Arabidopsis thaliana: one gene and its partners. The main gene of each other region encodes a partner of the protein of the gene in region 2 in a complex. Each region holds a gene or a part of one and is shown on either strand. Other genes may lie near its edges.

Region 1 (5,976 bases), 750 kb from region 2:
TAATGGATATAGGTCAATTTATTCATTGCATATTGATTATAAATGAGATTTTTTATATTCTTAAAATAGTATGAATTAGACATTTTGTAGTGATATTTCCAACAACAAAAAAAGATCTCATAATTTTGTTAAAAAAAAAAAAACTAAAGACATTTCGCTGCATCAATAGTAAGATTTAAGTTCTAGAGCTTTTGGAATTGCAGTTTTTTGTTTAGTTTAAAGTTTTGAGATTATGAGTTAATGTTTTAAATTTTGAAACTTACTAAATGTTAAATGTCATTTCAGTTTTTGTACACAGACAACAATATTTTTTGTATTTTCACATGCTCAACTTTTTTTTTCTCTCACATGCTAAAGTTTACAAAAATAACCAACACATCCATACGAATTTACCATCACGCCAAAAATCATTACGTTTGTTTTTGTCCAAAAGTGTTTGGGTGTACTTATTTAATCAAACTAAAAAGTGCATTTTCCTTTTCACGAAATAAAATCGTGACCATAAAACTAGATTTATCTCTATCCAACTGTTTTTCTTTCAATAGAAATGGAGTGAAAGATTAATAGAAGTTGTAGAAGTCCACGTGGTTCATGTGGTGAAATGCGTGAACGCGTAACGCCGAGATAATAACAACATTGAATAAAAAATACCAACACGCACAAAGACCACACTGCAACAACATTCCTATCCATCCACGTTATCTCCCACCCCCCACTACCTTCTCCTCTTTTCTTATCCACCCACCTTCCTTAAGCCTTTCCAATGCCATCTTATTTTATATACATAAGTAATAAGAAATGACAACATTCGGTCACAATCACATTCATTCATAACAATTGGATATCATTATATAAATATTTATTTATTTGGAAAAAAGTGTCATCATCTCTATATTGTGTCCCAAATCATTTCACATTACTATACAAAGTTAGGTGAAGAGCCGGTCAATTTCGAATGAGCTTTTCTACCCTCTCTTTTACTATTTTTATATGATATATATGTAAAAGGGACCTCTCTCCTTGTCCCAAAACCGAACATAACCCGACTAAACCGGGACTGTACCGAAAGTCTCAAGAATGTAGTAAAGAACACATAAAAGAAACAATAATTGGTATCCCTATCTTGCTGCAATTGGTGAATCCAAGACAGAACAAAACAGAGGAGTAAACAGTTTGTTCAAAGTAAAGTTATGTTGGATTCTGTTCCTTCTCCTCTGCTTGTTTCTGTCTCCAGCTTTGTGGAACTAGACTCTGTTTACCTTTATTGCACCAGAGATTGCGAGATATGTGTGGTAAGTATGGAGTAATATCTTTTGCCGAGAATTATTCACCATTTGAACAAAGCAGAAACTATTTTCTCCCATTAGCCCAATTCCTGTTGCTCATTCCAGGTCTCTTGAGTTGCGGTTTCTGAGCACTACCTTGCTTTGGGATCATCTCAAGTACTTGTATCGTTCGCTGCTTCTTGGCTGTGGCAAGATCACAAACATTTTTAAGTTCTTTTGTTTTCAAGAATGTAACAAAAAACTCGAAACAAAAGAAAGGAAATGAAACGAACCATTCTCGTGATGCTGGTAGCTTTCTTGAAGTTTCCTCTTTGCAAACTCAAACTTTGCGTCTGCATCAAGACCTTTAAGTTTCTGCAAGGGACAAGAGCAAAAACACCATCAATTCTACGTCCAAGAATAGGATATTAGACAAGAGCTTTGTCTCCACACTCACTTCTTGTTGAGGTCCAGGAGCTTTCCGCTTCTGTTCTGTAACAACCGGTTTCCTTTGGATCATGGGTTTTTCAGACTTGTGAACAGATACCGTTTCGTTCTTCATCCTTTGCTCTGTACTTTGCTTTACAGGTCTTCTAGTCCCATCAAAATCAGTAGCTGATGATGGCTTAATAGATCTAAAAGGAGCATCTTGTATCCTCATTTGTGTTCCCTCAGGTTTTCTCTTGGCGATATTTTGTGGCCTTCTTTCATGCTCTCGGCTTGTGTTGTGTTCTTCAGAGTTACGAGGATCTGAAACAAACATCCCCAAGAAAATCAATCAACACGTAGCTAAGAACATGTTCTCAAACAAACAAGACATAGTTTTAAAACTCACTTCCATCAAAGTCCAAGGAATCAAAGAAGTGTGAGATTTCAAATCCGTTTGGTTCAGGTGTAAAGATATCAACATCATATGGAAGCGATGGAAACGCCTCTTCTTCATCAAGGACAGACGGGTTTGCAGACTCTGGTGTACCTTCAGCACCTGTTTTAAACACAAAATTAGAACCAAAGACTATGGATCTAATTCAAGAAACCAAACGGTAAGACACGAAGCCAGTCATAAAAGATCGAAAAGCGAGACAGAGAAAGCGCAATTACCAGTGATTTCCTTTGTGGTATTCACCCATTGATCCACCAACTCCTTCCATTCTCTGCATAAACATATCAAAAACTCAAATGTGAGATTCAAAAGTGCAAAAGCATAGCAAATGTCAATCAAACTTGTGAAAGATCAAAAACTCATACGCGATAAGAGTCTTAGCGAGTTGTCGAATCTTATCAGAAGAATGTTTCCTGAGGCCATTAACAGCCTTTCCAATCTCAGTACTCTGCGAGAATAACCGCAAACCTTAAGAATCTCAAGGATCATCAACAACAACTTCATACACTATCCACCAAGATAACCAACCTTAAGAATATCCACATTCAAAGACATCAACTTAAGATGTCTTAAAGAATCGAGTAACACCGAGTTTGGCTGCAAGAGAATACAAAAAAGAACCAATCAGAAAACACAAAAAAAAAATCTTCACATTGATGAAATTTCAAGAACTTGAGAATCAAACCTCATCTTCTTTGTTGAGCAAGATCTCTTTGATCCTAGCAACCTCCTTAGAAACCACAGAAAACTCTTCAATCTCATCACTCAAAGCCTCAGCTTCATCAAATGTATAATTGCTAACAATCTGATTATTATCCCCTCTGCTACTATTAGCTTTGCTCTCTTTACTACCACCAGCAACCTCATAATCTTCATCAACCGCCGTACCACCACCACCATTTCCGGTGGTTCCACGGTTAGCCTCGTCGTCTCCGGGAACAGACAATTCAAGATGGTCGCATCCGACGCAACGATTCACTCTACAGGAGAATAAAAGCTCGGCGATTTTGTCTCTTCTGGATTTGAATTTGTTAGGACAATCAGTAGCAGCCACCATGATCGCATGATCGATGATCCCGAATATATCGGAATCTCCTCGCCGTCGGAAATATTCTCTCCAGCTATCTAATGAACCCGATGCTTTCATCGTTTCTCGATTCAACAAAATCGGAGTCTAATTAACTCAAGAATTTGATTTTTTCCCCAGAAAATTTGAAGAAGAAGCAAAATAGATTTCCAGAAGAAGAAGATTGGGATCGTTGAAGATTGAAGAATTCGAAAAGAGAAGATCAGAAAATATCGAATCTACGACAGAAGATTTACTTACCAAAAAAAGATCAATCAAACTTAAAGGTTGAGACTTTGAAGATTGTTTTGTTCTCAATCAAAATATGATCAAAAACGAAAAGGATTTGTGATCAAAAGAATCTATAGAGAGAGAGATAAACACAAAATCTGTTTGGTAAGTTTTTATTAATTTATTTTTTTTGGTACCTTTCCGAATCTGACAAGAAAACTTTCCCGGAAAGCCCAGAAAGGATTTTCCCGAGAAAAAAATGCACCGCAGCAAAGATGAGAAAGAAGGAGGAAACCCAAAAAAGCAAAAGAGAGAATACAGACAGAACATGAAACAGTTTTGGTTACGTTGTCTATCTAAAACCCAAGTGCTACTACGTTAAACACAGCTACAAATTCAATTCAACAAGAAACCTTTTTATTAATTCAGAAAGAGAAATAATGAAATTTATTTATTTCCTCTGATTGAAGTCTCTCTGTATATCTGTTTGGTAAAAGAGATTTTATTTTTATTTTAAGTTGGATTTTCTTTACGGCTTTCTTTTGACCTGATCGGTCTGTTTTGGCTTTTCATTATTATTATAAAAACACATTATTCTTTTTTTCCTCACACATGCGTTGTACTTGAACGACGACACAAGTTAAGTGATTACAAGGTCAAACTCTTTTTTTTTTTTTTGGGTCATAAATCTTTTTTACGTTGGAAAATGTCAAAAGTAAATTCTACTAAGAGTGTTTAGTTAGTTATACGGACTTTAATGAGAAGCTCTGAAGAAGAGATATTTATTTCCTAATGCTGCTGATCAAAAGCGTTTATCTTCTAGTCAAAGAGTGATATATTAGAATATTTGGTAAATCCGATTCAAAACAATAGTTTCATGTTTTAACAGTTAACACTATCATTTCATTTTATTTTGTTTTATAAGAAATTGGATTAGGTACTTTAATTTGTTCAGATTTGTAAGACAGAGAAACAAGTATTTCTTTGTTTACAATGTTTTAAAAATATCTAACAAAAAAGTTGTTTTATTTTTTTTGTATCCCTTTGTACTTTGGATTAGGTACAAAATGACTCACAATGTTTTAACCTCGTTACCCTCACAGCTTTTTCATTAATTCATCGACTATTTTTTCATAACCCATACTTGTTAAGGCCATTAGGGCATCTCCATCCATGAAAAACCCACAAAGTTTTTCAAACAAAAAAAATATTAATATTATATTATAATTTGATTATTTGATTAAAAAAATATTTTTGTTAAAAAATTAAACCAATAGTAAGATGATAATTGTCATGATGGGTTGTAGAGACTATCTCAGAGTTTCTCAAGTGAGAAACTTTCTACACTCTCTCTCCTTCATTTTCATTATTTTTATTTTTTTAATTGTGAGAAACTCTTATGAGATACTCCCAATAGAGATGGTCTTAGATATGTAGTTTATTTACAATTTATCAATTGTAAATAAAAGTTACAACTCTTCACTTATACTCATAATGTTCCGGTACAATCCAACCAAACCTTAACTTAGATCATATTTATTTTAGAGAATTTACCAAAAAAAGACATAGCATGATAGCATCATGTCATCAATCATCATACATTGTCTTATTTTTGTTGTTGTTGAAAAAAAAAAAAATCAACTGTTTTTCTTTGTATTTGCATTTTCGTTTATGTTTACATGTTCCAAAATGATACCACAATCATAACTGTTTTAATTCAAAGTAAGAACTTTGTTTTGTGTTTACAAAGTTATAAAATAAGTTGGACTATTAAACTTAGCTTGATTTGTTAGAGCAACAACAGAAAATAGAAGAAGAAAAGGAAGTTTCTGTTTGTGGAATGAGAAGCATGTATTAAATGTTGGTCAACAAAATCGACCCCTAAAAATATTATAATTTGATTTTATGTTAATACGTGACAAAACGAAGTCGTACGATTTGGGACGGTGGTGATTACCAATCAGAATTTACTCACCTTCAAACGCGTGAAAAACACTGGGACTCCTTTGAGTGCTAACCTCACGGGCTTGTCACAGCCACGTTTACGTGACAGACTTTGATTGGCCGACACGTCAGCAGATATAGTGGCTGCTTTACGGTGTTTTAGTGGACCTACTTGAAGAAAATGGTGCGTGTTTTGTATACAAGAGATAAGAAATCCATCTACCACGGACGGTCTCATTACAATTTTTTTATTATCTGAATAACCAATTATAGATATAACACCTAATGTATTTTGCTAGAAGTCGACAAAAAAAAATTAGACTGGAGTTGGAAAGAAAAATTAGAATTTTTTAGGCTCAAATTATTCAATATGCATATATTTATTTGAATCATTGTGTCATACTTGTTCTAGAACTTTAAGCTTATGAATGATGATTAAAGTTTATCTTCAACGAGTAGGCATTATTATTAGCTTCTTCTGCTACTCTAATGATTCTAAGAAAGCGTCGAGAAAGTTAATACAGAAGCAAAGAAAACTATTCGAACTGCGGAAGATAAAGAAAATAGGTGGATAGAAAAATTAACGG
Region 2 (3,834 bases):
TTTATCTTGATATATGGTTGACAAAAATACAAGATTGATAAAGAAAATGAGTCATTGTGGAAACAAAAAATGATTCCACAATTTGCTATTTATTTTGATAGAAACTATTTAAGTAAGTGAACAAGGCATGTCCCTATTTAGTCCACGTGAAGTAATCGGACGTGTCAATTTTGTTTACTGAATAGAGGTGTAATAATCCGACGTGTCATTCATCTTTGGACTATCCAATAATGTGTGCACAGAGTTGGGCCATGTTCCTCTGTGGACAATCCCACTAGTAATCCTCATACACAATAGAGTCATATTATTGAAATTAACTGCAATGAGTTTTTAGATTGGATAAAACTAAAAGAAATGAAACTGGCTAATTGCAATTGGATAAACTGAACATTTATTTTTAATTTGTATTTCTATGAGTTTCTAAAACATCGGTTCAGGTGTCAATCAACTGCTTAAATCAAATTCTTTATTCGAGATATTGACAGATCCATTCACATCAAATGTATGTTCGATATATCATAGTTCCGTTTCGGTTGTATCACCGGTTTATTCTTTCTCTTTTCCTTCAAAAGAAAACCCGGTTAATTATGGTCTAATTAATACAATCCTCATACTATTCAGTCTTAGTTGATTGTCAAATTAACTTTGTTTTAGTGTTAACAAATTATAATAAGCTTCGAAGGTCAATAACAATAACAGACAGATTATTAATTGCTAATTTACACACACAAAAAAAGACTCTATTGACCATCTAAAGTGAGGTAAGCATCCTTTAGAAGTCGCTGTGCTTCTTCTCTTCTTCTGCGCACAACCAAAAACATCAAACGGACCCATAAGAACTACCAACAAAGTTTCTGAAAAATCTTTGAACAGATGATGGATTGATATAAGCACACCATTAAGTACAGTATACAAACAAAATATGCACACCTTTTAATGTCTTCCACAGCTTGTTTCCTCTGTTGAATTTGAAGTTCCATAATGTGAATAAGCGTTGCTCTCGCCTGGACATAAGAGAAGATGATCAAAACAGTGAAAACAAAAACTGATGAAATCATGTTGTAGTTAAGCGAAGATGAGATCTTCTTTACTTGGTGAGGCCTCAAGGAATTGAGAAGGTGATGCAAATTCTTGAAGATAGAAGAAATTTCACCAATCCTCTTCGCATATTGAGAAGGTCTGTCAACAAGAACATCAGCAAGCTCCAATATATGTAACTGTAGTTCTCTATTCAGTGACCTGAGTTCATTCTTGTAATCTACACACAAAGATATTTGAAACTTTCTTCAACGAAACAAAGAGGCAAATGAACTCATGTAATAAGTTTGATTCCAATTAAGGGAAGAACCAAAAACCGTACTCTAGAAAGCAAATAACAATTGGGTTTTGAGTTTGATTCACAAAGCTAAAACAATGACATACCAAGATTAGAATCTTTGGGATAAAGTTGAGGCACTCCTTGTTCTTCTAAGCTTGGAAGAACATCTTCAGTCTACGAACCAAAAAAAATGAAAACTACTAAAACACATAAAGATGAAGATTTTAAAGAGGGGGAAATGTGGAGGAGACTCACAGTATAGTTGCCTCCAAAACAGACGTAGGTGCCTTCAATCGGAGGAGGAGGTTCAGGAGCAGAATTAGGGTTTTCTGAGTAATCCTTGTAGAGTCTGTAATATGGTGGAGGAGGCGGATACGTAGCTGTAGCCATTATTCCCTACAGATCCAAATAAAAAACTAAGCAAAATCAGTAACAGATTCCTAAAATTAAGGTTTCTAATCGATGCAACAAACGATTCAATCCAAAATCTAAGACTTTACTCCAACGATTCTGGATAAAATTTGCAACCATGGTACAAAGAGAAATTAGGGTTAACAAAAACACGAACCTATTGGGAATGCAGAATCGGAAATTATAACCAGACGAGAATAAGATCGAAGAAGCTTTTGATTTTGCTTTGGAGAAGACGGCGTAGAGCAAGAGGTCAATAATGACGAAACGAGTTTTGATTTTCTCGTAAATTTTCGGTTACGTGTTCGGACGGTTCGTATAAGTCTGGTTTCTTTTGGTTTAGTTTCGGTTTAATTAAAACAATGGCTTTTCAGTTTAATTCGATTTCTGCTGTTTGGATGTGATTAATCACCCCACTAATGATGTTATTCTTACGTTTTTACATTTAAAAAATAGTAAATATTTTTACTTTATAATAAATAAATATATTTTTTGTGTATTCTAGATTTTTTTGTCAATTTAAATAGAAATTAACAAATATTTTAATAACAAAAAAAAATTAAAACAGCTAAAAAAATCATATCTAACAACATTAAATCTTAAGATAACTTAAATTAAATCAAAGACGAAGATAAAAATTCCATTAACATCATCATTTTGATCATAAACTCATAAAGTTTTTACTATTTAAGAAAAAGAAAAACAAAGGACGAGTGAAACAAAAAAAGAGAGCTCACGATAAGAACGTGAGACTTGCCACACCTTATAAACTTTTTTTTTTATCTTCTTTTGTACTTTTGTCGTTTACTGTGTAAGTCATAAACTCACATAAGTTTAACCCAATGAGAGAGCTTATCTCTTTACTACATTTCTCTATAAAAATGATCATCTCAACACATTTCTCCTTCAATCTCAAATTTCACAAAAACCCTCTCAGATTTTTTCTACAAGCTGATCAAAACCCAGAATCCAGTTTTCATAAAAACATCATCTTTCTTTTATTCTTCTTTACACGCTCTGTTTTTCATCAATGGCGTCAAGGAAGCTTTTTTTTGTCAAACCTAAATATATCTATCCAGAACCAAAACCAGAGATGTCCGATGAGAATGTCTTTGAATTCGACGAATCTGATATTCATAACTTAGGCGATCATCAATTGCCGAATTCATTCGACGCGAAAAGATCGATATCAATCTCTCGGTTACGGAGAAAACCGACGAAAACCGGAGATTCAGGTAACCGGGAGATTACAAAGACCGGTTCGCTTCCGGTTAATATCCCCGATTGGTCTAAGATCTTGAAGAGTGAGTATAGAGGTCATGCGATACCTGACGATGACAGTGACGACGATGACGAGGATGATGACGATAGCAACGACGGTGGGAGACGGATGATTCCGCCGCACGAGTATTTGGCAAGACGGAGAGGATCGTCGTTCACGGTGCACGAAGGAATCGGTGGGACGGCGAAAGGAAGAGATCTAAGGCGATTGAGGAACGCGATTTGGGAGAAGATTGGGTTTCAGGATTAGTAATATAATAAGTATGTAATTAATTATAACTCTCTATAGGTAAACTTTTAATTACTTAGAGATCTTAAGTAAGGACTTGGTGTTTTTTTATTGGAGGGGTTTAGAGGATCGTTATAGTTTCGGTCCGAAGGAGAATTTTTCCGATTTCCTTTTGGCGTTATTTTTGTTTTTTGGAGTTTTTGATCATCGTCTATTTTTCTTTTTCTTTTTTGGATATGATCAATAATATTTTATATTTTTGTGTGTTTCAAATATGTTGAATTTTGGTTGTTGTGTGGTTACTTCAATTTTTACAGAAATCTACAGAGAAATAGGCAGTGGCGGAACTAGAACTTGCAGCTCTAGGGGTCAAAATGTATAAAGGAATGATCATAGGGGTCAATTTATGTATTTCATTGGTGTTAATTTAAAAACTGTAGCAAAAAAATAACTAAATTTCATAATTCCATGGGGGTCATATGAAGAAGATAAACGAATGCTAAGATCTATTGAACTCGGTAGAACTAAGGAAATTTGAATATAACAAAGCTGGATTGAGTTTAATTTCAAATATGTTAATTTTGGATCAATAATA
Region 3 (4,722 bases), on a different chromosome or scaffold from region 2:
AAGTTGGACCAGAAAAGATATGAACTCCACCACGAAGAAAAGCAATCGCAATTTCACCACCATGAGCAGAATAGACAATCCGTGCAAGTGTCCGAATATCACTTGGCAAATCAAAAGGATCAAATACAACCTTGTTAGCCTTCTCATCACCAGAATCAGGCTCCTTTGGTGCATCCACACTTGGTCCTGCTGCAGCTACTTGATGATTCTTAAAATCTTTAGTAGGTGGTATGCTCATATCCACTCTGGATACCCAGACAGTTTGCGTGGGGACCTGTCCTCCAAAATTTGAAGTTGGGTTTCCAAATATCTGATGCAGTACAACAGGTTGAACACTTGATTCCCAGCGCTGTACTCTCCAGCCTGTGATTGAAGGACCTTCATCTGGATCATACGGAGACATGTACTGCCCTGCAGACACAAACAATTAGCATTTATTTTAAACAATAGATTGAAGCTGTTGCGCTTCATCACTCAAACAAAATTAGCATTTTCTCATCTGGCAGCTCTTCAATATATGAGCATTTCTAAATGATTGACCAAAAACTAAACGTAAACCTGAAAATGTTTATTCAATCATGGAAACAGTATGAGGTTCCGAGAAGGATGAGAACAGTACCTTCAACTATAACAACTGCTATCACTGAACCACCACGAGTTGGATCAAAAGCAACAGCGGTAACACCAGATCCCCATGTTGTGGTTGCTGCAGACTGAGCTGCAGCCTCTGGACTTACATAAGCAGAAAAATTGGAAACCGGTGAGCAACTTAGCGATATAGCATCACTGGAATCTTGATCTGAGGGCTTCTTCCCTTGCTTTATCTCGGATATTAAGTATTCTTGCCAGCTAAACAAGTACGCAGCTAAAGGAGCAAAACCTGTCCAAGAAGAAGAACTAAGGGATGGTGGCACACGACTGCCTGTAGAGATTTTTGGAGTCGCCTGGAGTCCATTTCCAGGGCCAGGGGTCACCTCCCATACTACAATTGTTGAAGGGTTTACAATTGGAACTCCTGCTACATGCATGGCACCACTGTCTGTTATAATAGCATCAGCAGCCATAATTCCACTTGGCCCTGCACCTAAAAGACCTTTCTTTGTACTAAACCACTTTGGTGCAGTGCTTCCCTGGTTAGAAGGCCACTGGGACCAATGAATTTGAACAGAGCCGGATGAGAAAACAGAGCATACACAGAGAAAGTTGGGCCACCGAGCTGCAACAAATGGTAGAGAATCAGAACCGTCACATAAAGTGGAGGAAAATGCACTAACGTCAGAACATGTTGTATTGATCTTGTCACATATATTTGGATGTCAAAGGAACTGACATAATTAAAATTAAGTGCATAATTCTGAATATATCATCAAAAAATGAGTCACAAGAGGCACGCAGAAGAAAACCTGAGCTTTCAGAGCTCTGCGAGAGAAATTTCTCCTCGAAAGTTGACTTTGCATTTGTACCAGAACTTGGCTTGGAGGACAACCACCTATACTGATTATCAATAAAAAGAAAACATAGAGGATAAATTTCCTAGGATAAAACTAGAGCAGCAAACTAGGTGGCCAGAAACAACATGATATTAAGTCCTTCAGAACATGTTCTTTGCAATGGCATTATTATCTATCTGTTACTCATTTCCTTATGTGTTCATGCCGATCATTAAAGAAATGCATCTAAGAAACGCAAATTGGAAGATCTTTTAGGAGTCTAGTAATTTTGCAAACAGAGAGTTGGGATTTCCAGGACGTTGTGTTTTCTCCATCTCATTTCCTCCAAAACGTAGAGACATTTCCAGTTCAATTACTCACGATTTAGTAATCCCAGTGCCCACTCTCACATGCAAGCCCTCCATTACTAATTTAACGAACTCATTAAGGGACAAATATGCTGTGCATTTGATAGAATGGCAAATAAGCAAAACATAAGATTACATACTGGGGAAGCCCCTGTCAGCCACTTTGTAACAACAGCAATGTCCTGACGCCATTCATGCTCACACTGCCAGGAGGTAGCGTCGTGCACTAAATTAGCCGAACCCTGCAAAACCAATCCACAAAAAAAAAATCATCTGAGGGTGTCATAAAACATCTTGACACAGAAGACAAAGAAGAAATATAAAGGTAAATCCCAGTGATCAGGAGCACAAACCTGAGTAGGCTGCGTCCAGATAGTTATACGTCCATGAAAATTAGCAATGAGTAACGCACGAGGACAAGAAGTGGGAGACCATTCGATAAATTGGACAGAATCACGAGGAGAGTCTACATATAAAAAATTGCATCATAATCGTTTATCACCCACTAGATCAACCGAGTTCATAAATAATTAACTGATATCAAAATACCTGCCACAACATTAAACACCGCACACTCAGTAGGGCGCTCAGGTATCAAGATATGTATTGGTATCCAAAAAGGTGTATTTGCCTTGGAGCTGCAAGAGATGAGAACAGAGAAAGATGAAAATTGAGAAATTCATCACTGCCCATACATTCAAGACATAGAAAAGTAACAAAAACCATACCTTGGAATCCTGGCACAGGTCTCGGAAGCACAAGCAATAGCATTCAATTTGCCACACCACGCAACAGCACTAACACAAAGAAAAGGAGAAAACTTTACAGGAATTGATGAAATTTAAAGATTTTCCGATGGGAGAGAGAGTCAAACCTGAAGTTACGGCACAATTCAGGAACACTCATCTTATGAAGCAAATTGGAATTGGGCTGCTTAAGCTTAACACAGAAAACTGTAGCCGGACTCACAGGATCAATCTCCATGTTACTACTACTACTATTATCGTCTTCTTTCTCTCCGTCTACTGATTTCTCTAACAATTTCTCCTCAACGACGACGAGAATCGGATCGGTAGACTCAATAGTCTCTTCCTGCTTCTGCTGTAATCCTTCTTCCTCTTTCTCCTCCACTATAGCTGGAGCTTCGATGATTCCTCCACCACCGCTATTATTAACCAAAGAAACTTCTTCTTCTGGGTTTTGCTGATTCATGTCAACGAAAGCAAACAAAACCCTAAATTTATAGAAAAATCGGAGAAAAGAGGGCAAGTGTGACAAAAAGTCGCGATTGAAGGCGACAGAAAGCACTGTGCGTTGAGAGAGAGAGAAAGTGTCAAAGTGAGAAACTGTTAAGTGGGGTTAACGAGACGACTTAGTGCGGGGAAAATTCCAAAATCCCCACAAAATCAAAATCGAACAAAAAATGCAATTTTGATTTTAGGGTTTGGTGGAGTCACAGTCTCGTCGCCGGGATGCAGAAAAAAAATCTCGGTGAAAGTGATGCAAAAACGCCGTCGTGTCTGGTCACTTTCTCTCTAAATTTTTTTCCCCTCTTTTTGTAATTTTTTACTTTTTCTTTTAAGAGCAAAAAATGAAGAAGTAAATTTTAAATGATAGTTTTGAATCTTTTGATTAAGGAAAATGATCATAATTTCATTTTTTCTTCTAATTTACCATCTTCAAATTCAAATTTGTAAACATGGAAAGGTACTAACTTAATTTGACATTTGGCATTTGAGGATCCTTGTTTGACATTAGTTTTTTTTTTTTTTTGCTAAATTTGTTAATATCATTACAATGAGAGTTCAGAAAATACAAGAACGTACAACCTATAGAAAAGTAACCAAGGCAAAAAAAATAAAAACAAGGCTACAATAGAATTAGAAAAGATTTAGGTGTGTTTAACGAATCCATAAAAGCATTAGCCGCTGCCAACGCTTGCGATGTCGTCGAGAAGTGATTAGGTTGCGAAGCTCACGATCCACCAATTTGAAGATGATAAGAGGTGCCACGCGAGTAGAGTTGTGCAAAATATTAGGCTTAGGCATTAGTTCATTTGCCTCCTCCCAAATCAAAAGTTAGGCTTAGGCATAAGTGTTTCCCATGGTTGTTGTATCTCCCTCAATGTAGCACGACCAAGAATGAGAATCACTTATTGCTTACACCAAATTCTTTGAGTTACATGCATAGCGTACTGAAAACTAGTTGTTTCGGCTTCTAACTAGATACAAGCAGAGCCATCCATGAGCACAAACGGGTCAAGCTCATGCTTGCGGCTTCAATTAATATAAAGGGAATTTAATGAAAAAAAACCTCAACTTTGGCCAGATCCATTTTTAAACCCTAAACTATGTTTTTAGTAAAACAAACCCTGAACTAAAACCTGTTAATAAACTTAACCCTAAACGTTGTTTAATTACTGTGGGGTTAAGTTTATTAACAGGTTTTAGTTCAGGGTTTGTTTTACTAAAAACATAGTTTAGGGTTTAAAAATGGATCTGGCCAAAGTTGAGGGTTTTTTTCATTAAATTCCCTAATATAAATAAAACTTTTGCCTCATTTTCTTATAACTTTCAGTAGAAAAGTTGGTTATTTGCTTATAAGATTACATTAGAGAGTCAAAAGTTTGAGTTCATCTTCATCTTCATTTGCCTTTTTATTTATTTTTTCATTTTCACTCATTAAACTAGAACCAAAAAAAAATTCCTTCTTTCAATCTATTAAATACTAGGGATGGATATGTCTTTGCACCATACCCTTTTAACCACCTTCTCATATCTAAGAATGCACCAAATTTCAAACTTATTCATTCCATGTTTACAACATTACTTATAAGTTTACTTGAGCTAGTTGTTCAATTTAAAAATCTCCCTATGTGAAGGTTGTTTTGCCTCATCTTCCTTCTCATTGTGTTTATTCCATTC

The links. The genes of interacting proteins can lie anywhere in the genome.
Region 1: AT5G03220 (region 2) and AT5G05140 share a complex: the UniProt entries of both Arabidopsis thaliana proteins name them as parts of the mediator complex.
Region 3: AT5G03220 (region 2) and SFR6 share a complex: the UniProt entries of both Arabidopsis thaliana proteins name them as parts of the mediator complex.

The regions. Positions count from the first base shown.
Region 1 is NC_003076.8:1,517,672-1,523,647, reverse strand, and holds AT5G05140 (Transcription elongation factor (TFIIS) family protein), read right to left. Parts: upstream 3,944-5,976; 5' UTR 3,296-3,943; coding exon 2,834-3,295; intron 2,746-2,833; coding exon 2,677-2,745; intron 2,597-2,676; coding exon 2,514-2,596; intron 2,420-2,513; coding exon 2,367-2,419; intron 2,251-2,366; coding exon 2,101-2,250; intron 2,016-2,100; coding exon 1,723-2,015; intron 1,641-1,722; coding exon 1,559-1,640; intron 1,470-1,558; coding exon 1,351-1,469; 3' UTR 511-1,350; downstream 1-510. UniProt on the Arabidopsis thaliana protein: Component of the Mediator complex, a coactivator involved in the regulated transcription of nearly all RNA polymerase II-dependent genes.
Region 2 is NC_003076.8:766,877-770,710, forward strand, and holds AT5G03220 (Mediator complex, subunit Med7), read right to left. Parts: upstream 2,042-3,834; 5' UTR 1,887-2,041; intron 1,715-1,886; 5' UTR 1,709-1,714; coding exon 1,574-1,708; intron 1,493-1,573; coding exon 1,423-1,492; intron 1,259-1,422; coding exon 1,092-1,258; intron 1,005-1,091; coding exon 931-1,004; intron 802-930; coding exon 741-801; 3' UTR 559-740; downstream 1-558. Other genes in the region: AT5G03230 (senescence regulator (Protein of unknown function, DUF584)), read left to right, coding at 2,760-3,260. UniProt on the Arabidopsis thaliana protein: Component of the Mediator complex, a coactivator involved in the regulated transcription of nearly all RNA polymerase II-dependent genes.
Region 3 is NC_003075.7:2,496,219-2,500,940, reverse strand, and holds the start of SFR6 (sensitive to freezing 6), read right to left. Parts: upstream 3,011-4,722; coding exon 2,673-3,010; intron 2,596-2,672; coding exon 2,527-2,595; intron 2,437-2,526; coding exon 2,348-2,436; intron 2,265-2,347; coding exon 2,152-2,264; intron 2,041-2,151; coding exon 1,939-2,040; intron 1,495-1,938; coding exon 1,404-1,494; intron 1,217-1,403; coding exon 620-1,216; intron 412-619; coding exon 1-411. UniProt on the Arabidopsis thaliana protein: Component of the Mediator complex, a coactivator involved in the regulated transcription of nearly all RNA polymerase II-dependent genes.